4 linked regions of the Lytechinus pictus genome follow. The protein of the gene in region 4 interacts with the protein of the main gene of each other region in a pairwise test. Links are inferred from orthologs where the notes say so. Each region holds a gene or a part of one and is shown on either strand. Other genes may lie near its edges.

Evidence for each region.
Region 1: the proteins of coiled-coil alpha-helical rod protein 1-like (region 4) and heat shock factor-binding protein 1-like interact in binary tests that used the Homo sapiens proteins (3 or more experiments, as listed by UniProt). The link is inferred for Lytechinus pictus from reciprocal best matches to the Homo sapiens genes CCHCR1 and HSBP1.
Region 2: the proteins of coiled-coil alpha-helical rod protein 1-like (region 4) and SWI/SNF-related matrix-associated actin-dependent regulator of chromatin subfamily E member 1-like interact in binary tests that used the Homo sapiens proteins (3 or more experiments, as listed by UniProt). The link is inferred for Lytechinus pictus from reciprocal best matches to the Homo sapiens genes CCHCR1 and SMARCE1.
Region 3: the proteins of coiled-coil alpha-helical rod protein 1-like (region 4) and abscission/NoCut checkpoint regulator-like interact in binary tests that used the Homo sapiens proteins (3 or more experiments, as listed by UniProt). The link is inferred for Lytechinus pictus from reciprocal best matches to the Homo sapiens genes CCHCR1 and ZFYVE19.

The regions. Positions count from the first base shown.
Region 1 is NC_087246.1:49,267,110-49,274,868, forward strand, and holds the start of heat shock factor-binding protein 1-like, read right to left. Parts: upstream 3,012-7,759; 5' UTR 2,879-3,011; coding exon 2,810-2,878; intron 743-2,809; coding exon 676-742; intron 104-675; coding exon 6-103; 3' UTR 1-5. UniProt on the Homo sapiens protein: Negative regulator of the heat shock response. Negatively affects HSF1 DNA-binding activity. May have a role in the suppression of the activation of the stress response during the aging process.
Region 2 is NC_087247.1:14,971,903-14,978,829, reverse strand, and holds the start of SWI/SNF-related matrix-associated actin-dependent regulator of chromatin subfamily E member 1-like, read right to left. Parts: upstream 3,023-6,927; 5' UTR 2,898-3,022; intron 1,360-2,897; 5' UTR 1,342-1,359; coding exon 1,284-1,341; intron 1-1,283. UniProt on the Homo sapiens protein: Involved in transcriptional activation and repression of select genes by chromatin remodeling (alteration of DNA-nucleosome topology).
Region 3 is NC_087251.1:11,212,175-11,219,644, reverse strand, and holds the start of abscission/NoCut checkpoint regulator-like, read right to left. Parts: upstream 3,016-7,470; 5' UTR 2,825-3,015; coding exon 2,693-2,824; intron 1-2,692. Other genes in the region: blastula protease 10-like, read right to left, coding at 6,153-6,285. UniProt on the Homo sapiens protein: Key regulator of abscission step in cytokinesis: part of the cytokinesis checkpoint, a process required to delay abscission to prevent both premature resolution of intercellular chromosome bridges and accumulation of DNA damage.
Region 4 is NC_087259.1:8,053,554-8,061,046, forward strand, and holds the start of coiled-coil alpha-helical rod protein 1-like, read right to left. Parts: upstream 3,019-7,493; 5' UTR 2,499-3,018; coding exon 2,441-2,498; intron 581-2,440; coding exon 454-580; intron 1-453. Other genes in the region: probable palmitoyltransferase ZDHHC24, read left to right, coding at 3,568-4,419. UniProt on the Homo sapiens protein: May be a regulator of keratinocyte proliferation or differentiation.

The sequences.
Region 1 (7,759 bases), on a different chromosome or scaffold from region 4:
GGAATCTATTTGTCTGCCTTCTCAGAATCATCCACTCCAGCTTGCATCATAAGGTCAGCCACACTCTTCTCAAGGTCATCGATGCGATTTCCCATCTCATCTAGTGAAGATCAGTAGCAGTCAAGGAACCTAATTTCAACCATTTTTTAGTGCAGGAGTTGGTTTTAAGGATGTTAAAGGGGTTGCCTACCCAGAATTTAATAATATCCCACATTTTTATACTGGTGTGCAATTACTGAGAAAAAAATGTTAAAATACTATGGAATGGGGTTCACAATTTCATTATTTTTTAAATAAAAAATTACCAATTATGTTTTGGCAATATTCAGATATATAGAAGCTATATGTAGTATTCAGATCACCTCCTCCTCTTTAACACATAATATCATAAACACTTGACATATTTTAGCCAAAAAACACAAGAAACAAATTATTCTGTGGTTGCAGATATTATATTTAAAAAATAAAAATTTTACATTTTTAACTGAATAAGAAAAAAAAACTAAGATAAAGAAATCAAAGATGTAAATCACAAGCATGTTAGAATAGGACCTGATTGCATCAAAACTTTAAAACTGATATAGATTTTCAATAAATGATATATCTCTTCTCATCAGAATCTAATTGTAGCATGGAGGAGGTAAGGTTGACAACAAAGTAAATTTGAAAGGATATTCCTGCCTATGATGCGATCAGACATTGCTTGAAAGTTGTTCTGCATTTGTTCCAAAAGTTGTTGTACCTGTGCCATGGTAAAAACAATAAATATAAAATGCTCAAGAATAAGACAATGGTCTTATTGTATGATAACTTTAAAATGAAACATTTAAAGTTTCTCTGCTGGCAGTCAAATGTCATCATGTAGCCAGTACTAGTTTATCTTCCACTATTGATTTCAAGAAATTGGAAGGAGAGGGGAATACAATTTTTTAGGTAAAAATTTACGCCCACAATAAGGAATGTTACAAGGTATGTTATGTTATAACAAATAATAATAATAATAAATCAACTGACCCAACTTTCTGATTTTGGGCTCATGAGGGAAATTTTTTTATAGGCCTAAATCTAATATTTAATGGAAACACCTACACCAAATGAATACCAAAGTTCCGGTAATCTGCCTGAAATAAGATTTTATTTGAAATTAAAGTTATTCTATCAGTAGCCAGTTAGACAGAATGAATTAATGCACAAGCCGTTATTATTGCGTACAGAATTTTTCGCGAATCGCGGGGGTCCCGACATTTTCGCGGGTTGTTAAATTCACGATCGGAAGATGTATGAAACACTTCCTCAGCATTTCAAAGAAGCAAAACTTATACAAATCATGTGCAAAACTATGTTCCTCAAAGTACATAAATATGTCCCTGTAAAAACAGTTACAAAATGTGGAAAAAAGTGGCTTAAATTTCACTTTTTTGTACCTTTAGATCTGAAAATTCATCATGTCACAGTTTGATCTGTAAGAGTAATCTTTTGAAGTTGTGTTTTGTTAGAGTCACTTTTTAAAAAGTTGGTTTCAGAACAAAAATGTTGAATTTTGTGAACAGAATCTTACACCGCTAAAAGCTCTGGTCATGTGACTTATGAATATTTATGAGTATGCAAATAGCTGCCAATACATGTGTGTATATTGGAGAATCAGATGACAATAAAATCGAATTATTTCATGGAAAATACATTTCAATATTAAAGTGAGTGAATAAATATCGATAGAATTACGTGAGAAAATAGTTTAGGCTCTGATTTTGTTTGAGAAATATAAAAAAAGTGAAATTCTAGCTAACTTTTTGAATCACTAACTGTACTTTCTAAACCTAATTTTTTGTACATATAGAGGTGCATATCTCACAACTGGGCGTTGAGGCGTGCGCCTGTAATCCAAGCTGTGGGGAAGTTACAAATTGATGCAGAGGTTCGAGGTTCGAGCCCTGGTCACGTCTTTCGGATGGTGACGTTAAAGATCGGTCCCAGACGTAAATAATCATATCTGATTGATATATGTCTGACAAAACTCAAATACACACACACATTATCACCACACAGAATGTTTTCAATAGCAAAGCTTTGCTGTTAGGGATATTGGCACTGACTAATAAATCATTAAATGTGTCAATATTTTTGCGTGTTGTTACATTCGCGGCCGATTGGCAATTCGGGAAATCCGCGAAAATAACATTAAAACTAAAAGCTCATACAGTACATGAAATAGTGAAAAAGGGGCACAGCAGTTTTAAGGGGGAATGGCACCCAGTTTTGATAAATGGGCACAGTCACTGACTGTTATAAAAGACATTAACAGCTGTGAACTTTAAATTAAATATCACTAACGATTTTCACTCTCCGAACGCTTCCTGGCCAATTTCTTCATGCACATTATACCAATGAATAGCAATGACTCATGCATGACTCAACAACATTGTCAATAAATTAAACAATTATCAACCATTGCCAATGGCAATTTTCAATTTCAGTCAAATTACATTTAGTATTTTACAATTACAATTCCATTTTTTTTTTCAATAGAAAGGACTTAGAATCACACATTGATGGTCAGATTAACAAGATAAAGTAAGTCTATGAATAACTAATGTGCTACACCCCGGGATTTGGCTCCCATGCAATTGATATATGTGACTAATCCCTGACTGGAGTTCTCGGCCTATATCACAGAATTGTGATAACCCCCCTTGAAATGTATGCAAAGAAATTGCGATCGCCAGTAATGGCAATGACTTCACGAGCCCTGTATTGTGTGCCAGACCCACCTAGTTTAGAAAAGGTCCCCCCCCCCCCCTTCGATACTCACAAACTGTGTTAAGTCTTGTACATTTTTCCCATCAGCAGGATCTGTAATATCTTGCTTTGTATCAGTCATGTTGAATAGTAAAGCGACGACCTCCCAAAATAGAAGTATTTGACTAATTATATTTGACCCGTAAAATATTTTCAGTCTATCGTGAATTGGTAGTTCGGTATCGATATATATCGCAAATGATAATTTGATGGGATTCCGGGATAGAGATCTGTAAAAAAAATTGAAAGATTTATATATTATTTTAAGTGTTTTGAATACAGTGGGAAAATATCAAATAAATATAATTTGTTTTGTTAATTTTTATTAAATAAAATATGATAAAAATTTATACAATTTGAGGCAATTTATTATAACTTTGTAATAATAATTGTGAAAGTGCCTAGAGACGAAGACGCTGCTGCTAGCTACTGCTGCTATGCTAGCGGTATACCTATGCTAGCTTGCTGAGCCGTGTTACCCAAACTGGAAGAAAAATCACTCAATTCTCTTCGAATGAAAAGTAAGATTAAGTGAAAATATTTGTGTTCGGTAGATGTGTTTATGCAGTAAATTATTAGGCTTAGATTGTAAATGGATTAACCCGAATGTGGGCCGAAGGCAAGCAGCCGGGCCGCGTCCTGCTGCAGTTCATCGCGCCTCATCGAACATTAGTCGCAAAAGCTGCCTGGCCCAGCCGCTAGCCGCCCTAGGCCCACACATGGGTTCATATCATCTCGCGTGCGAAGGAATATCAGTCATAATACATATTGATATTCACGCGACACATAGCCAGGCGGCTTCTAGAGAGTAAAAATCATTTACTAACGTAAGGTCACTCTCATGAAGCCAGGCCTTCTATCCCATAGACCCACACAATGGAAGCCAAAACCTGAAACTTTCACCCCCGAGATTTCTACTTTCCTTCTAAAAGATCTAGGCCTAGCTCTAGTCTAAATCATGTAAGATGGGGGGTTGGGTGTCCGGACACGTAACAGAAATGAAGCCTTGTTTTTATCTCAGGAATAAACCAAAAATATAGGTTGAATAGTTTTTTTTCACCATCAATATTTGTTCTTTATAATATTTTCTTATATTCTGTGCTAAAAAGAATTAAAGACATTGCTTGTAAACTTTTCAAAATTGAGAGTAAAAGTCATGTGTCCGGACACCCAACCCGTCCGGACACACAACCACTGGGTATACATGGGATAAAACTTCATTTCCGACATTTCTACGCTCTCGTTGTTATTTTTAAAACAAGAATTCATCAAAAAAATGAAAAAATATTGTGAAAAGACGGAAGAGACTTGCCCGATGTTTACGTCGCCATCTTGTTTCTTATTGTACTTCCCCAACGTTATGCGACGCTCGCGTCCGTAACGTTGGGGAAGTACAATACATGCATTAAGAAACAAGATGGCGGCGTAAACATCGGGCAAGTCTCTTCCGTCTTTTCATAATATTTTTTCATTTTTTTTATGAATTCTTGTTTTAAAAATAACAACGAGAGCGTAGAAATGTCGGAAATGAAGTTTTATCCCATGTACATGATTTAGAGCTAGATCTTTTAGAAGGAAAGTAGAAATCTCGGGGGTGAAAGTTTCAGGTTTTGGCTTCCATTGTGTGGGTCTATGGGATAGAAGGCCTGGCTTCATGAGAGTGACCTTACGTTAGTAAATGATTTTTACTCTCTAGAAGCCGCCTGGCTAGCGACACACACGACACATCCAAAACATACTGGGGCCTGTTGCATGAAGAGATGAGCGATACGTAGGAACGTCCTAGGACCATTCTTCTGAGATAGGAAGATTGGCGACAAATCAGCGCTTTCCGTTTCACGAAGGCAATTTTGTCTTCCAAGTCCGCGACATCGTTTGAATTGATATCGATAGTATCGGAAAAATATTTAGTCTTCATCGTCACCTGAACCTTTTATTTCGGAATGACGACTTTTCATAAAATCAGATATTTCAATAAAAGGAGATCAAATAATGTTTTATTTATTAGTGAAATATTACTCATTGTAGAATTGATGTATGGAGCTTACTTTATCATGAGGTAAAAAGAGAAAAATCTTTCAAGATTCACAAATGTAACTGGATAAAATCGAAATTTTCATTATTTCCCTTATTTAGAACACGGTGTCCTTTTAGAGACACCTTTCATTGATATTTCAACAAAAGAGACCCTTGTCCGACATACAAATTGATTTAACTAAGTCTAAGTAATTTCGACATTTTATTAGTTCAATATTCTGTATTTTTATAGAATACATAGGCCTAGGCCTATATATATTGATGATTTTGCAAATTATGCGTTAATATGTTATATGTTGAGGTAAAAGTAGGGTTTAAATGGAGTAAACAAAATCAACAGTGTCTGATTGTATGAGACTAAAAAGGAAAATATGAGAGGCTGCCTGTGAAAAATCTAATTTATTTATTTTTTGTCAGATATAAAGCAAAAAATACAAATGTGAGTGTTTAGAGTATAAACATACCTCAGTTGCATGATGGGTAACCGAAGACAAGGAAAATGTGAAAATTGCTGCAAACATGTCCAAGTGGATAAAGTAGTGCTTTGCAATTAAAACAGAAAAAGGTGTGCAATCCGCAATGGAAAAAATACTATTTACAGAAATAATGCTGAATATTACAATGATCATAAACGTTGGTCATCTTTAAAGTTGATCACTTAATCTATGGAAGTATATATAAGAATATAAAAATATATATATGTTCATCATTTCAAAGTTGAGGAGTAGAGACTACATTATTGCTTTAACATTACATAGGGGCCGAAAAGGGCCTACGTACCCTACGATTTAAAATGCGCCTCTTCGTATGGACTTTCCATAATCTTTTCTTTAATGAACTAGCTTATCTTCATTTGTAATAATTGTGATGGATTCGTAAGCTATAGGCCTAATCTGTATCTTAAATTCAATAAGCTATTTTGTTACTGCAGATTTTTTGTTTTGTTTCACTGTTTCACATCTCAAGTTATCCCAAATCCGACAATAATTTTCATTGATTAAAATTAATCTCAGCAAAAAAAAGATAATTATAATGAAAACGAAATAAAAATAAATGAATGATTTACCATATGTTTAACATTTTAGTTTTGTATCGTGTTTTTTTTTTTGCTGAACGTTATAAACACTTTTTACCTTACATAATTTCTTTTAAAGAAATTTGTTTTCATATTGTTTAATTATCTATAATGAGAAAGCATGAGGGGTCAGGGAGATAGTGCCGTCCATTTCGATATTTCAAAAAAAATTAATGGAAATGGTGTGGGGATAGGACGGAGGGAGAATAAAAGAAAACATATTAAAAAAAATATTTGCGCCTACATTACCCCCGGACATAATGCCCGTAGAAGTTAAAATGACATTTGTTTTTGGTCGTCTTGCCGTGAAAATGTCTTAGATGAAAGATTTCTCAATCATCCAGAGGTACGCAATTACTTAAGTTATTTATATTTCCCTGGCAATGGAAACCATGAAACTGTAAATTTTGCTTAAAAACAGTTTTAAATCGCGACCTATAAAAATGTTAGTTCAGTATACCACTGTCTATACATACGGGCCAACAACTCTTCAGTCTATGTATTGGTGAGTGAAGCCAACGTAGTTCAGCGGAACAACCAAAATACAGAGACTGAAGCTTTTGGTTTGGTAAATGGGATACCATTTCATTTCCGACATTTCTACACTATCGCAGCGCGCGACACTGGCACTGGTCCGACGGTCCCAGACGGGTAAAAATTGCTGTTGGGCCAGTAACTTTTCAGAAAAAGCCAGATTTGCTGGTCCGACATGACCAGTAAGATTATACATCTAACTGATACAAAATATATTTTCTTCTCTTTTGTAAAAATAAAAATGGCTCTGGCGTCTCAAAAATTGGCTCTCATGAATCATGTTGTGTGTGTACTGTTTTTTTTGTGGGGGGAGGGGTAACAATAAGCAATAAAAGACAGCAAAATAAAGTCAAGTCTTTTTTATATTTTTCTTTATTTTTGGGGACCAGTACTTCAACCAGTAAAAAATGGAAAAACTGGGTGTGTGCTGGTCCGACATGATCAGGTCGGACCAGTAGAAAAAAGGGTTAGTGTGGAGCCCTGGCTATCGATTTCATTTTTAAACAAGAATTCATTAAAAAAATGAGAAAAATATTATGAAAAGACGGGGGAGACTTGCCCGAATGTTTACGCCGCCATCTTGTTTCTCATTGTTGATCGCTAACGTTATACGGACGCCGCGTCCGTAATGAATTCTTGTTTAAAAATGAAATCGTTAGCGTAGAAATGTCGGAAATGAAGTTGTATACCATCTAGATGATCTAGGGCTAGATCTTTTAGAAGGAAAGTAGAAATCTCGGGGGCGAAAGTTTGAGGGGTTTTTTTGGCGGTATATATAGATAAATGCAATAGAATCCCTGGCTCTGTGGAGAGTAAGCATCAATAGTAAATGATTTTTACTCTCTAGGAGCCTCCTGGCTAACGTTAACTTAGTTGGGGCCTGTTGCTTCTTCTTCTTTCTTCTTCCTCCGCTGATCCCAGAGATCTACAGCTGGTTGCTTCAGTTCATGACATTGTTGAGTAAACTAATAGTAAAAAAACTAATATAGAGCACAAAACAATTTAGAAAGCTCTTAATTTGTCATGAAAAATACATAAAAATAAATCCTCAAGTCCTAAAACATGAAATTACTTAAAAGTTACAGAAATTCCATAACTTCTGAAAAAGTGCCAGTAGCAAAATAGATCATTTTTATATAGGCTTATGTCAAAAAAATACATAGGGCCTAGGTCTAGAAGAAATTGTTCCTCGCTTTGCTGTACTTTGCATGGATGCGTGCAGGCATGTAAAGTGACGTAATATACATATTTTGTGTGTAAACATCCAGTCGCACATCAGCGAAAATCCATGAACCTCGCCATGAAAGCCTATATGAC
Region 2 (6,927 bases), on a different chromosome or scaffold from region 4:
CAAAAGGATAAAACAGATTTACAATACTCATACACACAGACATAAAAATTAAAACATATAATTGATTTGACATATGTATATTTTTTTAGATACATGTTCACTTCAATTCCTCACTGTTATTTACCACCCCCCCCCCCAAAAAAAAAAAGGTAAATCAATTTTAATAAGAATTCATTTGGAAGCTTTTAAACTCAATCTGCGAAGTTTTGAAACAGGTCACATCTGTCACATGGTCCAAGGGGACCGTTTTATTAATTATGAATGATCAAGGTAACTTTGGTATAATGAGGATGCAAATTAAGCCAAGAAGTGGCCATTCCAGGCCATGGATTTCAACTACTACCATGGAAACCTTCATATATTTTAGCTGCTGAGTCCTGTTACTCTGAAAATACTGATGATCATTGTGTTATGTGATATCTCACATATTCATTGATATATCAATACCTACATATACATGTATGTAATTAATACTTAATCAATTCTTCTGCAGGAAGTATAACAGGAAACTATATGTTTACCAATTCCAACTTTCTTTAGAAAGTATTACTCATTTTTCTTCTAGCTAAACCTCTGATGCACACTCATTTTATGGGTTTCTTATTTACTACATTCCCCCTTCTCACTAAATTGTCCACTCCCCCAATTCAGAATCAAGTTATAACATACAGATTATTATTTAAGGCTGTCCAACAACTGTCTGGCTATAGTCTTGATTTGACTGTGATAAAAAAGGTTCACTTGAGAACTCCAGTCAGATTGGTTTTGAGTTACAAAAGACTTTATGTTTTATACCAAATCAGCTTAGTCTTCTTAGGCGTCGAAATAGCCCAGTCTATTTAGGGTTAATAAGTACATACGAACTGTACATCTCATCTTCCTTCATCTTCATTATAAGGGGGTGTTGCAAGAAAATATTTGCGATCACTTGCAAATATTCTGTTCTAATTTTACAATTGATAGATCAAGTTTAGCTGTAGCAAATCAGATTACACTCTTTTTTTCAGGAAGCAGATTAGCATAGCAATCAATCACAAACTTGTAATTAATTGCAAGACTTATGATTGATTGGGGACCAAAAATTGAATTGCAATTGATCACAAGTTTCTTGCAACACCTCATAAGACTGGTTGAAAGCCAAAGTGCCATTGATCTGACAAATTCATAAAAATAGATTTCTTTTTTAAAAAGGACCCTGGTGTACATACATGTACATTAAAATTTATCTGTAAAAACCTAATTACACACTTGCAAGAAAGATGATTTTCATGCCAAACACTTACAGGATTGAAGGGATGTATTCATAAACCCTCCCATACTCCTTCTGGAAGCTCCAGACATCTTGATTGTTCTAACCACCTATGAAAAAAAAATATAACAGGATCTATGATCATTCATATTTACCAATCAATGGTTAGCACAATTACATATAGGCCTGTGTAATGCCAGAAGAAAGCGAATTTTGAAGACAAACAGATCAGGATCAGCCAGGTTCTTCTTTGATCGCTCGATCACCATCAGCACAGCTGATGACAAGGACATGAGCAAGCAATAACCGTAAGTAACGGTCTATTAACCGCACCTTTTTCTCGGCGGGATAGAAGCAAAAGTCGGGGGTGCGGTTTATCCACGGTGACGGGTCTGAGCCAGCCCGTCGTAACCCCTCTGCCAGTTCACAACACATCGAGTGGCCAGGCGTAGCCGCCCAGGGCAATGTCGTTTAGAGGGGAATGAGCTGTGGGTAATGAGAAGCGATTATAACAAACGCACCCACCTTCATGACACTAATTTCGAATTTATTCTCGGTTCAAAGCAGCGAAGTTCCCTGGCTAAGTTCAAAGAGAAGCCAAGCATACTCGGTAATATTTTGTCACAGCTGATCGAGCGCAAGAGTTGAGTTAGCTGAGCTAGCTTGCATTGTATTGTGGTTTCAGTGCGACTTAAGCTGGCGCTATTCATTTTAACCCTCGATCCCCTCCAAAGTCCCGTTTCGCGCCAGCTTATTTTTTCTTTCCTGTTTGCTTTTCATAAGATACCACCTACACCACGCAACGAGAGAGACGGCACGAAGCCGTCAAAACAACTGTAAAAAATGACAATTTCTTTGTTTCTTGAACCTTCCTGTAATCCCGTATCCAAAATTCATGCCAAGACATCGAATACTAGACAAATTCTGAAAGTGATTGTGAGTTTGTGATGCAAGAAATGTGAATGTTTCTTCCTCCTACGGCGGGAAAGACACAGATCATTATTTGATAAGATGTACTGACACTGGTACCGTATCGTAGTTTGCAATGTACAAGAACGGCAGTGCTGTGTGTGTGTACACCGTGACTGTGTAAGTGGCCAATATTGTAGGGACCTTTCTTTCTTGCAAACATTTGTAGATGAATCAATCAAGAACAGCAGATTTCTGCATACCGGTAATCTCTTTGGATACTTTGAAATCTTTAACTTAGACTTAGTTTTTGTTTCTTCGTACCTCAAATATAATGTGAGGATTTTTTTTTTTTTTTTTTCTTTTTAGTCCAAAGTAGTTGGGGGTGCGGTTTATAGTCCGTTACTTACGGTACTGGTGGGGAAATTTGTTGTTTGAAAGTGGCCGGTGCGAAACTGCATCAGCGCCAGCATGCCATGGCGACCTTCCTTGCACGTTATTTACTAATCGCCGAGCCCGCGACGCAGGGCGCTTTGAACTTCCACGTCTGCATGCGACGCTATGCGGGAAGTGCTGGGGACCAAAGCGGCGACGCGATGCCTTGCTGAACAAAGAAAGCAAAATGGCACAGTAGAAAAAGATTTGTTATTTATAATTTTCATTTTTTACATCATCACACAATAAAATCAAAACAATTTTAGGTTTGCTTAACAATGAATAGAATTACACATATACTTACCTACAGCAAGAACAATATGTTTTCTCCCAAATGTGGAAAAAAAAGAAGTCTTTTACGGCAAGTTTAGTTTTTTCCGGCAGATTCTTCCCCGATGTAGTCTAATTTTCAGACGGCAATTTAGTTTTATTTTCCAAGAAGATCGGAGGATCAAAACAGAGAGGGGGGGGGGGGTTCTTCTTTTTATTTGGCAATCAGTCAATTTGACTATTTTCGCCATCATAAATATTGTATTATTAACGTTATTTTCTTTGATTTTTTTTTTTATAAAGTAATATTCAAATATTTCTTTCTTATTCTTTTTTTTTCTTTTTCTCTTCTTTTTCTTTTCTATTTATTTTTATTATTATTTTTTTTTTATTTTTAGGTTATCTACAAGGATTTAAAGTCGAGAAGGTGTGTCTCAAAAATTAAAACCAGGGCTTTTACTGAAAATATGTTAGATATATAGGTCTACTAGTATGCAAGTAAACCTATAGGATGGAGATGACAGAGAAAAGAAATGAAGAAAATCACAGCTCCAATCCTACACTCGTATACCGGAGTATATAAGCTGTTTCAACTTATCTTTTGGTTTACAGTCCTTTTCAGGACTACATTCAAGAAAGATTACTCTACTCTCAAATTTCCACTTTCTCGCCTATCCATTTCTTTTCTTTTTTCTTTTTTCTTTTTATTTTTTCTTCTTCTATCCACTGTTTCTATAATACTCCACATGGTGTACCGTACGTAAACCACATCAGCGAATATTAATTCTATATAACAAACTACTTAAATTGCCATTTCATGACAATTTATCAAAATTATGGCTCGCGATTTGCGCTCGTATTGATTGTTGAAAATAATTTTATTCACACATGCATCTTATTCATAATTACAAAAGTGCATTAAATGTACAGTTTTCAGGCCATAATATTAACAGATTTCACGCTCTCATTAGGCTTATTAGATTAATAAATAAGATTAATATAATATTAATAATCAAATTAATTGTCCCTTTTTCAGAATGGAATATCGAAAAGTGTCATCTCGCGCTTAGGAGGGAAATAGGAAGGTAGTTATCATTCACATGATGACAGTAATGTTCTCAGAATGTCCCGGTCTTATGTCAAAACTCAAATGATAACAATGAAACACATCAGCTCTTATTTAAAGGAGAATGAAACTCTTGGAGCAAGTTAGCTTTTGTGAAAGCAGCAAAATCAAAGAATAAGATCAACAAAACTTTGAGTAAAATAGGACTAGCAATAAAAGAGTTATGAGCATTTGAATGTCGAGATCACTAATGCTATGGAGATCCTCCCATTGGCAATGCGACCAAGATCTGTGATGTCACACACGTACAACTCTCCCATTTGGACACTGAAAATATACCCCAAAACATCTCTTTTTGCTCATTCTAATCATATGACAAACGATTCATCAATGATATAATGTTGTGAAACCTCTGTACTTGTCATCTCATAAAGAAAACACCTCACCTTGTGATAGACTCTATAAAAGTGAGAATATAAGTGAAATAAGTACTAAAGTAATGAGGGAGTTGTACGTGTGTGATATCACAGATCTTGGTCGCATTGCCGTTGGGAGGATCTACATGGCACTAGTGATCTCAATATTCGAATGCTCATAACTTTCTTATTATTCATTCAATCTTCCTCAAACTTTCAACAATATGTTTCTTTGATTTTTCTCTTTGATATGGATTCAGCTGGTTTCAAGGGTTTCATTCTCCTTTAACAGTGATCCATATCCACCTCACCATTTTTCTACAAAGTGCTTGAAATACAGAGCTTAAATTGACCCTTTTTCAGATCGGAATATCAAATATTTTAAGCTCGCGCTTCGCGCTCGCTTTACTCATCCTTTTCATGATTTACAAAACATGAATAGAGTGTCCCATTTTTAGGTGTAAATGTCTTTTTTTTTTTTTGGTTGAGTTATATACTTATTCTTTTCATGATTACAAAATGTGCTTAGAATTTTTATTCTTCAGGTAGAAAATGTCAAAATTTTCAGCTCGCGCTTCGCGTTCGCATTATTTGATTGTTGAAACAATATTATTATGTAACGTCTTCATAGCTAACTGCAAGCAGCTGTTAACAGATTTTTTTTATCAGATCAAAACGTATATTAATTATTTAGTTGGATACACATCTCGTTTAGGATAAAAAAAAACATAGCCCAGAATGTTTTAATTTTAGGACAAAATATATGAAATGAAAAATAATTTAAAAAAATAGCTCGTGCTTCGCGCTCGCTCTTTTTTAAAAGGTTTATGAGATTATTATATATATATACGTTGATTTATAAGATTAAAGCTTGTGTGACTTTTAGGACTATATACCCCTTCAAAGAAACAAACAAAAATCAACTTCGAGCGGCCGATCGGGGAAAATGTGGCTGAAAAAAATTCCGCCCCCCAATTGGCGAAGGCTGGATCCACCCCTGATACGTCTCAAATAGCCCAGTCCTTTTAGGGTTAAGGGTGTTGTGATAAATTTATGATCAACCGTGACTAGTTTTGTTGTTAAGCAAATTTCATGAGTGAACACAAATTGCACTTAATTTGGGGCAGCATTTCAACTTTATCACGTGGATCTCAGCAATGTGATCATGAGAGTCGGGAGAATATAGGGGATGAGATAGGACTCGAGTGGGAGAAGAGGTTGATGGAAGGGTCAACAGAACATTTAGCCCCCCCCCCTCCCTCTCTCCCGCCCTCACCTCCTGTTGAGAGACTGATTGCTATTACATGTACGCATGAAGTCCAGAGCAGGATGTTGACTTGATGATAAATTCTGAATTGGGGAATCAACCTTACCTATCAATCATTAATTTTTAATCAACAATTAATTAATAAATCAACTCATTCAATGTGCGATGTGATCAACCAAACATTCATTTTTTTTCAATAAATTATTTCATAAATCATCATAATCAGTCAATATCTTGGTAATCATTGGTGAGAGAATGAAAGGAAGTGAGGTACGTTCAACTGAATAGGGACATCATTATCTAAGAATTATGAGTCGCATCTAATATGTTTTGAAGTCGGAAGTAGAAGGGTGGTTAATAGAGACAATAACAGCAAGTTAAGACAGTTCAAGGAAATACAAAGATGTTATCCTTACAATGAGTAAATTAATTAGCACTAATTGGATCATACGTGATCTACAATGCAAAGAGTGAGCAACAGTGGACCGACATGACACTTGATTGATTGATTGATTGATAACGAATTTATTTCATTCCACTTCATTCTCATTCTGAATTTCCAATTTCCCCAATATGATTGTTGGACATCCAGAGATAATTATTTGCTATAAATTTTCCTGGCATTATTATGCTGTTCAGGTTGGCGTAAGGACTGATTCCACTTCCCTTTTCCCCGGGCCTTTTCCTTATACTTCACCCCCCTCTCTTCCTCTTTATCTATATTCCCCTCTCACCTTTTTCCTCTCTACTTCCTAACCTATACCATATACCCTTTCTTTTCCATCAGCCCTTGCTTCCTCATTCTCCCCATCGTAATCTCTTTTCGTTCCAACATTATTTTATCATCATCATCCGTACAGTCCACCAGGTTGGTGTATCATCGTACCGTGTAGAATTAAAAAAAAAAAAAAAAAAATCAGCGCAGTCTTAGCGCAATTGGATTTTCTGCACCTCAGCCTTGAAGCTATAGCTACCGAAGTGCAGTTAACTGTAATGGCAGGGAGAATATTCCACAGTCTAATGGCATCAGGAATAAAAGTTTTCTGATAAGTAACAGTGCGAGCATGTGGGACGTGTAACCTCATCTGATGACCACGAAGCGAAGTGGTCATCAGAAGCATTTATGTATGCCAGACTGTAATATATCATATAATTTGCCGAAGAAAATCACACCTTTTATATATATAAAATATAAATTCAAGATTTAGGTCTTCTTATAAATATATACATATACACATACAGTGCGTATATAAAAAAACGGGACAGTTTTGAAAAGTCTTTAAAAAAATTTGTTTCAAATTATGATATCTATATT
Region 3 (7,470 bases), on a different chromosome or scaffold from region 4:
AACCTTTATTTTTTCACATTTTAATTGAATATTTCTTTAAACCTTCTCATGCATTAGGCGTAGGAAGGTGTGGAGAATAATAAAATCACGATCATTTACATGATTTTTAATAAAAAAGATGGATTCCTAGGGAAATCCATCTTTGTTTACATGTCTCTCTTATGCATATACTATGGGAGCACTCACACAAGCATGCGAGGTTAGTTGTACTAACCTCGCACAACGCATGTCATTTCATGATGAATTTTGACGTTTTCATTCATCACACGAATGTGAGAGAATGAAACACGCCAAAATCTTCAGAATATACTAAATTTATTCATCTAAATCTTATCATCTAATTTAATTTTAAAAATGTGCTCGAACGTATCTATAAAAAGGGATTTAAACGCTTACCTCCAAATCTCAGCCAAGATACTCCGTCCGATCCTTAATACTGCGGTGGAAATTACGCAAACAACAATCAAAATGCGAATTTTTCCTATCGAACAGTCTAGATTCAAGCCGTCGGCGCATGATAGGAAATTGTACCATGCTTTTACATTTCATAATCGCTGATGGCGCTACATCATAAAATAATGCTGAACAGCGAAAAAAAAACAGAGGGAAAAAAATGCGGAGCGCCTAGAACGCAACCAGCAGTACAGCTGATCTGACGTAAACAAGCAAGTTTATTAAATAATATCGCGCACCCTCTCTGTGCGTATAGAGAAAACCAGCGAATTAGCTCCATGCCTGCTTCGACATCAAGAAAAATCATCGATATAAGGTACCAGAAAGATCTAGAGGAAATGAAATTGGCTTCATATCGTTTGGTAAGTTTCATTTCCAAAGACCAAAGCTTACTTGATTTAAAATATAGATCAATTTCTAATTTTAACAAAATAGGCATATACTTATTGCAAGTGCTGTGCCAGTGGTTATCCTGTGCACTGCGGCAGTAATGTACCCATGGGTGATATGTGAGGGGATTCAAGACTCCAATGATGAAGAAGTATATGTCAATTTTTTTTTTAAAGACATCATCATGGTCATGGAGTCCTCAAGACTATGACTGTCCACTCACACTATTGCGAGGTTAGTATATTCTATACGAACCTCGCACAACCATCGTGTTTTTGTAGTGGATTTTAGAGTTGTTGTTAACATCGCTTCATAACATGAATGATGTTAGCCGAAACCCATTCCGCTACTCACCAGGGCTTTTTATGGTATAAAGCGTTCCATTTTCAATTTTTAACATATTTTTTTAATTTAAAAGGACACAAAAAAGAGCAAAATCGCTTACCTCTGCCTGGAAAGTGGCTTCGCACGTCTCTTCCACGGAAATAAAAAGGAGGTCGTTGGTGGCGCTAATACAGTTCACAACCTTAATTCAGCTTGGTGGTTTTTTTAAAACTAGATTCATGATTCATTGTATGCGCAATTCCAATAATTGTTTGATAAAATAGAGACCCCAATAAATGCAATAACTTAAAAAACATACTTTTTTATTATTTTTGCTGACGATTATACTTTTTGGAAAATATTCAAAACGATGACAAATTAAACAAAAAATATAGAAAATTCTATGTACCTTGAACAAAGCCCCGCAAGTGCTACCAGTCGTTTGTCAATTAACGTTCCACCAAAGTCTTTACAAAAATTACAGTAAAAAGATTGAACACTTTGCCAACTTTGCGTAACGCTTTGCATCGATTTACGTGTAAGATAATTTTTGTGTCTAGTCTTTCCCTTGTAGTGTCTTTGATATGAAGATAAATCGCGCGCCCTCTTTCGCTCATTAGACAAAAAATTTGAGAGCTAGAAAGGTGACTTTCGTATTTTGTCAACGCGAAGAAAAATCAACGCTTCTTAAATGACGCATTTTGAGGGATATTCATCAAATTATGAGGATTGAGGAATTGACTTCACATCGTTTGGTAAGTTTCGTAGGAGGACTTCATTCTGTAAGTCCTCGTATTCATTTTTCGGAAAATAACGTTATTTGTTGAATGCGCCGTGCCTTCAATTATTCTGTAGTCGGCGGCAGAGATGTAGCCGGTAGCCATGGGCATGGGTGATGACTGTCCAACCCATAATTTGGGTAATGTCGCCTATGTTGATTGTTGTTGTTTGTTGGAAATTAATGGCGAGTGGCGACCAGTCATATTTGACTATTATACCCAGTTGTTGTGTGTCCGGACAGGTTGTGTGTCCGGACGATCAATTTTAGAAAGTCATTTGGAAAAAATTACAAGCGAAGTTTCATCAAATTTTAGTACAAAATTTTAGAAAATATTATAGAGAACAAAATAGAAAATGATTACAACTATTGAATTCATATTTTTAGTGTAATTCAAAGACAAAAAAGAAGGCTTCAAAAATATAAAGTGTCCGGACACCCGACCCCCCATCCTACCGCCAACTTTGACTTTGACTGAGGTCCATACATGTTAATGTTTGGACCTCATGGGTACTAGGACTAGGAGTGGTTCCAATCATAAAAACAATCAGACATAGTTTTTCATACATGAACTTACGCAGAAAACTGTATGTGGGACATATGGATAATTGACCTGAAATGGTGAATTGCTGAAACTATGTAGGTATGTTTCGACACTTTCGTGCCCAACGTTGTTTTATTCAGAATCTTCTAACAACGTCAATTTGGAGTTTGATCATGCCCACAATTTCACATTTTCAAACTTACCTCTCTGGTGAAAAATCCAAACTTTGAAGCGCAGCCGAAACAGTGTCCGTCCATGGTTCCCCGTACGATAGAAATGAAGTAGCGTTTTCTGCATGCTATATCAGCTTCACCAATCACCAATCTCCATCGCATCCTCGTCACTTTTGCGAACAGTCATCTAGCATCCGTGAGTGTTTGTGGATCACTATTTGATGAACTTGCGAATTGTGCACATCAGTGATTGGGTGACGATTTCTAAAAATACTTTTCTGATTAAAAAAACTCCATCTGAAATTTTGTAAGTACATTTTGCGCGTTAAAAAAAAAAAAAATCCATCTTATATGATTTATGGTGACTTGGGTTGGTTCCCATTTATGCAGTTACTTGCTCGAGTAGGATTATTCCTAGTCACTGACTTTAACATCCATCATTTTATGTTAAGTAGACTTAAATGATGTACACAATATTTTAGATCATAGTGGCTTTTCTTTCGTAAGGTTCACCAAAAACTTAAACTGACTTAAAAATAAAAGTCACCATTATTTTAAGACTTAATAATCAATTCCGCCAAAACTGGTCCTCGAGTCAGTAAGATATCCAAAATTCCAACGCATCCTGGAAATATCGAATTTTTAAAAACTACTCGGAAAATAATCTGATTAAACTCCCACCCGCTCTTTGGCATCATTTATGTGAATTTAGAACAGGGAGCACAAGACCTACCATTGTAATTGGTAAATATGACAACTCCGAAAGAGACTGACACAGGGTTATGTTCTTTATGTAAATCAGGGATTGGTGGTGACTTTTGTTAAGTCTTTAATTGACTTTATCGACTTATTATAAAATGTAAACCATAAAGATCTTCTCTCTTCGACATTGTCCTAACATGCCTAAAAATGCACACCCTCTTTTTTTTTCCATCTGATGTCATGAAAAGCTTGGCTGACTCCACCATGCACACTGGTGTCAAACTATTTTCGCCAAACTGTTTTCTCTTGATGTTGCATTTTAATGTTTGTACTTTTATTGTTTCATTTGTTATAGTATTTCCCATTTAATGTACGTTAAACTCATGTTCATATTCATACTCATGTTCACATTTGCCAAGTTTACATTCCCTAATTTGCTTAAAGATCAAGTCCATCCCAGAAAAATGTTAATTTGAATAAATAGAGTAAATTCAGACTAGCCTAATGCTGAAAAAAAATCATCAAAATCGGAAGTAAAATTTAAAAAAGTAGGCCTATACAGCATTTTAAAGTTTCACTTATTTTTCACAAAACAGTGATCGGTGATATGCACAACTCAGTGATTGGCAAATTAGAGAGTCAATGTCCCGCTCGCTCACTATTTCTTTTGTTTCTTATTGTTTGAATTATACAATATTTCAATTTATACAGGTTTGACAATATATACCAACTTGACTATTTAACCGCTAAATGATTTAAAAAATGGTAGTTCCACATGTTCGGGGAGGAATAGATTTTGTTTCACATGACAATAAAGAGAAAATTTAAATATTCCATATTTCATATAATGAAATACAAATAAAATAGTGAGTGAGTGATGTCATTAATCCCCTCATTTTCATGCCGACCATGGATGTGCATATAACCGTTTTGTGAAATTAAGCGAAACTTTGGAATATAATAACTTCCTTTATTTTATATCCCTGATTTTGATGAAATTTTCAGTATTATGCTTGATGGATTTTACTCTTTTTATTCAAATTTTTTTTTTTGAGGGGTGGACTTGTCCTTTAGGGCTTTGATAAAACTGTATCTTATTCATGTAATCATTGTATTGGTGTATGTATCCTGTGACTCCTTTGGGGTTTTGGAAGGATCTTTAAACAATTGAAACTTGATACCCCGACTCATTCCGAGTGCGGCAGCCGGGGGAGGGGCAAGGGTAGTCTGCCCCGGGTGATTTACGACTGGAAATCAGCCCCCCCCCCAAAAAAAAAAAAAAATAAAATAAAATAAAAAGAATCATCGGGAATATGAAGGATTGTTACGGTCTTAAACGGTACTCGGTCTTAAAGTGTAACTCGCTGGGTAAGTTCGCGAAAAAATGTTCCATTGCAAATAAATGTAACCCACGGTACGCCATTGGACTGTCACTCATCCACAAATAACCGACAAGCCAAGTACACTCACCCAACCGGCCAACAAACTATATCATCCAAGTGCACTCACCCCACCCAACCAACCCATCAAATATCCACCAATCCCACGTACCACTGTCTGACTCACTCATCTATATAGATACCAAACCGGCCAACTGACCGACCAAATGTTCCAAATAACAAATAAACTAACAAACTAAACACTATAATCACTCACCTACCCACTCACTCACTCAGCCAACCAACCAACTAATCACTCACTCACTCACTCACTCAATCACTCACTCAATCAATCAATCAGTCAATCAATCAATCAATCAATCAATCAATCAATCAATCAATCAATCAATCAGTCAATCAATCAATCAATCAATCAATCAATTAATCTAAACAACCAATCAATCAATCATGTTTTTAAACAAAATATAATTAACCGACCAACCGAAGATTCACCGAAAACTATAAATTAATAATCTTCCTATCAACAACTCACTTAAAAAAAAATCAATTGCAATAACTTGAAAGATACCAGACAAGCAGACACAAAACAACAGATCTTTACATACCAGTCGTGCCCGTCGTTGTTCGCCACCACATCTCTCAATAAACACATAACAGAATATCTAGGGTAGACAACATCGGTGCATGATACTTGTTATTTTATTCCACAAGAAAAGAAACCCATTATTACAAACATTGTATCAATATAATTAGATATAGATCACCTATATAGGAACAAATAAAATTTAATATTGCTATATGAATGATATGCAATTTTTTTCTTTATATTCAAAATAATGTCTCTGAATCTGAGTCAATTCGATGTGCAATATATTTTTCTTCGTTTACGGGCGAAATTAAGAAGTTGATGTCTGAAACAGAAAAAAATATTGCTGGTTTGTATACTTAGGTTTAAAGAAGTTTAGAAAGTCGTAGCTCTCACTTTCGGATTTTTTTAACACGTGCACACGTTTCTTTCAAAATACATTTAGAATCTCCATTTATTTAATGTGCGATCAACTTAGATAAAAAGGCGTTGCCTTAGGACAAGAGTGCCATGCCGGGAGTCAAACCCGAGACAAAGACCCCTTGGTCTCAGTACCTCCAAAAGTGATAAATTCAATCAAGCCAGATTGAATATTGTTATTATTATTATAGTTATCATTATTATTGTTATCAATCATCACTCTTCTTCTTATTTATTATCATAATCCTCGTCATCATCATCAATAAAACTTATCAAGTTTATAGGAAGAAAAGAAAAGAACCCCCATCCACAGAAAATAGGAAATGTATGGAGTGCCGTCCTTTCAGTCATGAAGGTACCTCCGTCTTTCACTTGTTGTCAATTATATCTTCACTGCTTTAATCTTGGCTACAAAGCCGTCTTGAACAACAGAGTTATCTGACGTGAAGGTCAACTTAATATTATCCATCGCCTGATAACTCAGCTTGGTCATATCGGTATGAAGTCCGGACAGACTGGACAATAAGAAGGGGGGGGGGTGAAATAATAATACAATTCCTTTATGAATTTCTTGATGACATTTGGTGAAACATGAATTATGTTGAAGTGCAAAGCAACAATAGCCTTGATAAAATTGATTAACACCAAGTAATAACATTTGGCAAATAGATAGATTAGCTCAGATTAATGTACGTTTACAATGTTCACAGCAAAACGAAAGTAGGATAACATTAAAGGTATAAAACATTCATGGACCCCGTATTACAAAGAGTTGCGATTGATCCAATCAACCACAACTATGGAAAGCCAACAACGCCCATATCTAAAATGCATGTTTGTTCAAAATATTTCCTAGATACCCATATACATTCATCGTTGTCTTGACAATTTGTTGTGCTTCCTCCTTGTTTACGAAGGACGTCTTGAAAATTTCTGATAGGAAAAATTGTGACAATGATGGATTTTCATATAGTTGAGGTTGATCGAATCAGTCGCAACTCTGGTAAGACGGGGCCCTGGGATTTAGACACCGTTTTCACTACCGTCCTAAAACTAGTTTACTGGAAACTAGTTTAAGGTGTAATGAGAACGGTCGAAGCGGTCTTGGAAGCGATCTTCCAAACCGGTTCAGAAAACCACCTCGCGATGTAGTTTTGAAGATAGCTTTGCTTCGTTAAACTTGTTTTAGCGCCCGGGGGGGGGGGGGGGGGGGGCACTTCCATCGACGAGTGGATAACATGCGTGACCATGGGGTTTCGAAAAGCACCCCAAATAAGTATTTTCCATGTTCTGAAAATGCACCCCTTAACAAGTATTGGTCTGTGAAACCCTACCCTTAACAAGTATTGGAAACAAAACGGTACTTTTGACAAGGATTTCCTGAATTGACCCCCTTAAAGGGATGGTCCAGGCCGAAAATTTCATCAAAATCGGATAACAAATAATAAATTTATTGAATTTTAAAGTTTAGCAATATTTTGTGAAAACAGTCGTCATGAATATTCATTAGTTGGGCTGATGATGTCACATCCCCACTTGTTCTTTTGTATTTTATTATATGAAATTAGGTTTATTCAAATTTTGTCCTCCAAAAACTACAAAAATTGGATTGACAACTGATTTAGTGCATTAGATATTTATTGCTGCAACTTATTTCATTATAAGGGAGACATATTATTCACACATGTATGAAATAATGA
Region 4 (7,493 bases):
ATCAATTTTGACAAGTTATATTTTATTTTTACAACTTTTAAGTGTGCTTATTCATGCTCAATGAAAATCTCAAAATAAAATTCATTTTGGGTACCTTACATGTATTGTTGGTCTTGGGGTGGCAGGTCACAAATGACACTCTTCCGTGATATCATGGAAAGAATTTGATAGCTCACAATAACATCTTTCTCATGTCTGTGTTATCCCTTCATTGTGTATGTATATTTATCATCAAAGAAATAACGCACTGAACAATGAGTCTAATACTTTTAGTGGAAATAAGGACTTTTAGAACACATACTGGCTTATTCAATTGTTAAGAATGAATCAATGTTGCATGTTGAATCGATAAAAAAAAAATCAACAATTTCTACAGCTGTTTATTATACACTGTACATGTAAGTACAATCTTCAACAAGCCAAGAATAAAAGACATCAATGTTACGATCTTACCGAGGGGACTGTTTTCTAGCTTTCTTCGGAGAAGTTGTTGGTTCTCCTGAGACTCCAGTGACCTTGGGTGCTGTTTTGGCTGGGACTGTTAGGGCTGATGGGGGCAGCAGCTTGTAAGATGGTCCACCTAAAAATAGGTAAATGTCAAAAAATATACTTTAATTATGCTTCAAAATTAGGAAATTATATACATGACATTTAATCAGCAATTGTATCAAAATTAACAACCAACAATGCGTAATAGATCTATAACACACTCATAATTTTACAAGACTTCATTCGCATCTATAGAAATGCAACACTTCCCAAAGGGAATTCAATTTTCAAAGAGTAAATTGATATAGAGGGCTTTTAGAGGCAAAAGGCAACTATATGTATGTGTTTTCTAAAAAAGGTTTCAGTCAAAAAAGATTATTCTTTTGGTAAATTATAAAACTTTCCATATTTATACCAAAATGCAATGTGACAAGAAGATATTATTTTGTAACTAGTGTATAGAAATTTTCATTTTGCATACATATACAAGGACAGGGTTGCTCTGCGGCCTTTTTTAAATATATTTTAATGTTTTGTAAATGGTATTTAGCAATTATTTATGGTGAAAGCATATTATGTGTATCTGTGTTAAGGCTGTGTATCAATAAATCTTAATCATTTGATATTGAAGATCCTACTAGCCAAGAGGTTGAATAGGGGCAGCATGCAGCTAGGTTCAGTTCCATCACTTGAGAAGATCTCAATCCATGGAAATAGATTCTACGGTAGATCTATAGACCTTTATGCATATTTCAATTTTTTATTTTGCTCCTGCTCTATTTTGCATCACTTTCATTTCTTGTGGTGCATGGTGATCAATGTCATAATGTTACATTCTTTTCTTAGGAGTACCGGTATCTCATTCTCAGTATCAAAGATACTAGTACAAGGGGAAGATCGGACACTTCGACGATTTTTTGAAATGCTCGATAAATGCTTATGGGGAAGGGCGCCCAACAGCGTTGAGTAAGTAAACCTTCGCTTATCGGCATGCGACTGTGTATAAAACATATGGGGAAAATGAGAGAGGGGAGTTTGGAGAGGGCTCACATGGGAATAATTCCATGTTTTAATAGTACCAAGAAACCTCTGAAATATATTCATCTCAAATTTAAGGGGGAAAAATTGAATGAAAAAATTATAAAATGTAAAAATCGTCTATTTCTTCACCCCTTCACCATTTCTCTCATATGTTTTGTACACAACCATCTCGCGATACAAAAAGGTAGTTACTTACTCAACGCTGTAGGGCGCTCTTCCCGAGCGTTTCATTACACGGTCTATGTACCTTATACTATAGTGAGACCACCACATATCGACCACCTCTTTTGAAACCGACCACCTTGTGCGCATTAAAATTATTACGTATTACAAACGATATGCGCGGGAGAGTAGGCTCAGTTTGACACATCGTATAATATAGACTAATGCAAGGAGATGGCTACAAATTTTGACGCTTTATTATATAAGCGTTGAAGATCGCTATATTTGCCATCTAACTTTAATTATAAATACCATGAGAGAACAGGGGAGCGTTTCATGAAACTAAAGCCTTAAAAAAGGATTTGCCGGAAGTTTTATCCGACAAGTCCCATTTTATCCGACAGTTACCATAGAAACAGAGACTCTCAGCCAATCAGTATTAAGGAAAGATGTCAGATCTGACAACTTGTCAGACAAGAATGTTGATGAAACGCTCCCACTTTTCAGAACTCAAATCTTTCGCCCTGCCCGGCTGCCGGGCCGGGCCGGGGGCCGGGCGGCGGGTCGAGGCTGGGCGCTGGTTTGCTGCTTAACCAGAGCGGCTGCCAACATCCCCACTATGGCACTAAGTCGCTACTCAGTTCACGAACTTTTCAAAAGTTTCTCACATACAACGAGCAAAAACATTCAATAAAAAAAACATCATGAAATATGATGAACTGGTTTATAATGTTGTTACTATACTTACCAACGCCATAGCTAGGGGGTTTCATGAAATGTGCCGGATTTTTCAAAGGTCCCGCCATTATTTTGTTTCAGCTTCATCGCCTTTTCTCATTGATCATCCGACATCAGTCAACGACGAGCGGGCTTAAAATGAAAGTCTAAGAATTATTTGACGGACATCAGACGGAGTTGTTGAACAAGTTGGTGAGGTAAACCATTAAATTTCATTTTATTTAATAAAGTCTATGATTTAAGAACGAATTGGAGTGAATCGATATTCATATTCCCCAAATAATTTGTAAAGAATTCATTGGAAATTAAGCATTGCCCCACGTATTAAAATACGTGTCAGTATTCAAATGATTGTCATCATTGTGAATTGTGCGAGTTTTTGACGAACTCTGAGTCTGAACTTCATCAGTCTTCTTCTTCTTCTTTGTTGTTCTTCCCCTGGTATTCGAGGATCAGCGGCTATTCGCAGGTTGGTTGTTGTGTTGTAGTAATTTCAGTCACAATCTAATCACTCATTCACAATGAACAAGGTTATGTACTATAACTGTTCTTTGACTTTGTTCTCTTTGTGATGAAATGATTAAGGTTAGCAATGCCAATTTTGGGGCTTTGGCTTATTTTCTCTTTTTCTTGGGGACAAATTATGCTTGATTTTTTGACACTGCCAGTTTCCATTACAGCTATCCATCATATAACTTGGCTCTTAAGTAATATTTTTTCTAAATTAAAAATCTAGTTCTAGCCACTGAACTCCAAACGAAGTCTAATCCTTAACATGTTTTACTTAATTTTAAGGCTGAATGAAATTTGAAACCCAACCCTGAAAATCTGAGTCAAATGCAAATTGTACTAGTGCCAGCACTTTACATTCAACTGATATACACTGTTACAATATGTTTGTGGTGAAGTTTGTGGTGATGAAATTCAGAAATATCACATGCAAGAAGGGGAAGATTTTAAGTGATGCTTACTAATATCTGAAATTCAAATTTACTTTTAGGTCATTGTATCTGAATTGTTGTAATTAGTCTATTGACTATTGGACTTTCTTTTCATTTTCCATATTTTCTTAGAAACCCTAGAGGTCAGATGAGCTCAAAATTCATCTAAATCACCTATCCATGCTTCAGGAATATCATGGCCATGATAAAATGGGACGTACTCATACCAAAGAAAACTGGTGACAAGATTCCTGTGGCCTTTGTTCTGCTGGAGCTGATAATTGAGATTTTCTTTGAGTTATATGTAGTATTTCCAACCCTCTTTGAGCCATTTTCCCAGAGTTACAACATCCATTTATCAATCGGCCTCTTCCTCTTCTTCAACTTCATCGGCAACTTCTACCTGAGCATTGCCACTGACTTGACATCGGGACCAAATATCCTCCCGTCGGTTCTAAAACCGGACTGGACTTACTGCCCTACCTGCATGATCAACAGCCCCCCTCGGGCATCCCACTGTTTCATCTGCAACATCTGTGTCCTGAAGCGTGACCACCACTGCCTGTACACCGGAAAATGCGTAGGACACAACAACCAGCGCTACTTCATGATGATGCTGGTGTACTTTGCGCTTGGCGCCCTCTACGCCAACTACCTGAACATTGAGTTCACGTACGAGATGCTCAACAGCCTCAATTGGCGAGTGGTCGTTACGTTCTTCGCTCCCGTCATTGGATGGATCTTTGGATTCACGCAGTCTCTCTCCTTCCTAACTTGCCTCCAGTGTAGCACCTGTGTTATTTGCCTCATGTTATCGTTGGGAATGATTTACTACCATTTAGCGCTCATCCTTCGAGGGCAGACCACCAGAGAATGGCGGAAAGGGATCCGTCGGTACAACCGAGGTTGGTGTCAGAACCTGCTGGACGTCTTCGGGACCAGGTGGTACCTGATTTGGTTGTGGCCGTGGATCTCATCCCCACTGCCAGGGGATGGCATCCATTTTGTGAAGAGAGATAAGAATTTGGAGAATGTGAAAGATATATGACAAACCTGACACATGTTTTCATTTCATTCTACAGTGACAGAAGATCTTTTTAAACTTTAATTCACTTGCAATGATGTTTTTTGTATTGATTAATTACCATTTGTATTTATTACGTACAAATCATATGAAATTGCCTCAATATTCATTGATTTGTCAAATTCCTACTAATAATATCGTGAAATTTCTGTCAACACTACTTAAAATGTATTATGTCACGTTGCAGATATTTTCTGGATTTCAATTATTTGTAAATTATTGAAGATGTAATATCAGCATCTATGTACAATTAACTTTGTGTGCATTTATAGAACTTGGCAAACTATATTGTGCTGCTTTTGCATCCTCATCTCAAATGGGAAGGCATAGATTGCAGAGTTGTAGGCAGAGAGGTGTAAACCAGGATCGGGAAAATGTGAAACTGGTGGTTCATGTAAATACTGGTAAATACCTTCTCAATGTTATGACATTGAAAAGTTGGGATTTTTTTAAAGCAAAGACCCGTATGTAGTTAGAGACAATCATGGGTGTATTAATACATGATGCCATACCATTCAAGTTGGGGGATGAAACAATAGTTCACTTCCCCCCCCCCCCTTCCCCCTTGGTCAATCAATAGGTTCACTGCTTGAATTTACACCAGTGGGACAATGCTTGATATCTCGGCTATTCACACTGCTAAATTATTATTCATTATCAATGTTATCATTTTTTGTTTTTGATATGAAGCCCTCACCTAAATTCAGAGCCATCTTTCGAATAGGATTCCCATATAAAACAGCAGACAAAACAAACAAGGAAACCGCCATTCATGAAAGACACTAGGCTATGCTTTTGTAGGCAGGTTCAAAGGAACAATATATCTTTCTTGGTGACATTCCTTTGTATTATTTTGCCTGCAGATACATCTAGCTATTAGATTAGAATAGATTGGATTTGATTTGATAGCATTTATTCCATTCATTATAAAAAACAAAACGAGGCACATACAAAGTTAACATACATTACATGGGAAAATTGTGAATAATGCAATGATATCATCTGAGAGATGGGAAACAGAGATGGGAAATTCCAGCATGAAAGATGTGTCTCTGACTTTGATTAGATCTCTCATTGTTATCATTAAGTAGTATTATTATTATTATCATCTTCCTAATCATTGTTTACAATTGAATTATCAGTATTTCATATTTGTTTGAATAGTGACATGTAATTGTGCTTCGTTTTGGTTTCCATATATACCTTGGACATAAAACAGTATTCTTGATTTGCAGCTGGCTTATTGAATTTACACAGAATTTAATATTTAGAATGTACCAATATGTTCAGATTTTGATAATTCAGTAGTGATTATACCACGATATTGGAATGTAGACATACATGCAATATTCTTTTTTGCCTCGATTCTGTGTGGTGTCTTATAGAAGTACTCCTTCTCTTGGGGCGTCACGGCATTTGCTCCTGCGACATTTGGTCCAGTCTTATTATCTCAGAGGGCATAGAGTTAGAGTTAGGATTCTAATACATTTTTTGTTCAGAAAATCCAGATTTTATTGTTTGAAATAAAAATCCTCTGAATATAATTTGTTTTGCCCAATTAATTGTGGGCCCGGTAGCCACTGTGCAGCGCCAGATCGATGTTGCTATTAATTTGCCATAACATGCCTCCACTATTAAAGTCAGATGTACTGAAAGGTAAATCAAAATCTCCAACCTTTTGTGCAGATGGTGTAAAGGATCAAGTATGAGGAGCACTATTGTGTCTGCTATACTTATATTCTCCCATACATAATGTCAATTATTTATAAGAGACTTGCCAAAGCTGTTGCAGTTGTACAAGATAAGCAATTATACAAGTATGCTGTTTGTGTAAAAATTTAACAGATTTCTGATATATATTGATAAGTATTGAAAAAAATAATCTAGATTCTAGATTGACGGATGATTAGTTTGGTACATTAGGTAGACAGTTTGTACATTATGTAGGTACCCAGTTGGACAAAGAACAAAAAACAAAATCTGTTAACCTATTAGATTCTTTGGTGCTGCACATACGTTAGTTGAAAATTAGAGGAGGAAAAAAATGATTCTATACAGAATATATGTATATGCAGGAAGAATCCAATTTCCACCAACTTATTAGGATGAAATTTGTGAAAGTAGATTTGTAATGCCATGGTGTGGAGAAGTTTGTATGCAATTAAACCCACCTTATGCAAAATGCAGGGTAAGTTCTTGTTTAGAATAGATGATGGACTCTTGCTTACTACTTTACTGGCAGATAATATGGTATGTACTAAAATAAAAGCAGACATTTCACTTAAATTTTAACATTGTCAGAATTTAAATGCTAGTATATTTATCGATATATACCGTATGTAAAGAGTTGGAGACCTACATGTACAAAATAAATTAAGTCAATATGTTTACTGACCATTTTGACATGAGAATCATAAAGTGAATCATCGTTATACAAAAGTGTTGAATCAAAATCACTTTTTACGCTACTTAGACATCATGAAATATATGGAAATTTCTCTGTAAAACATTAGCATGAACGGAACACAAAATGTAAATTGTAAGTATTATAGAAAAATATGCAATAAGAATTAGATACAGATTTCATTCGACATTAGCACAATGGGATGTGAGCCTAATATTTTTCTTTTTATATGTATTGTTTGATACATTTATGCAATTGCCATAAAAATTAATGAAGACAGTACGATACCACTCACCGAACCTCTCCTTTGATTTATTGCAATTTACTCTAAAATATATATCTCTCAAAGCCGTTTTACTTTTGTATAGATAGTCTTTATATAAAAGCATTTGATCCAATATTACTTTATGCAATGAACATTGGTTGTGCTATTTGTAGGTTAACCCAATGATTATTTCAGTGTAAACATACTGCAGGTGACCCTTCTAAGGTCAAATCTGTTGGCACCCAGGAAATCTGTTTGACCTAGGAGAAATTTGACTTTCAAGATGTAAAATAGACACGTTTTGCTTATTCTGTTCTGCAATGATGCTTCGAGTAAAGCGATTGTTTGACTTCTGGAAGGTTGGCTTTT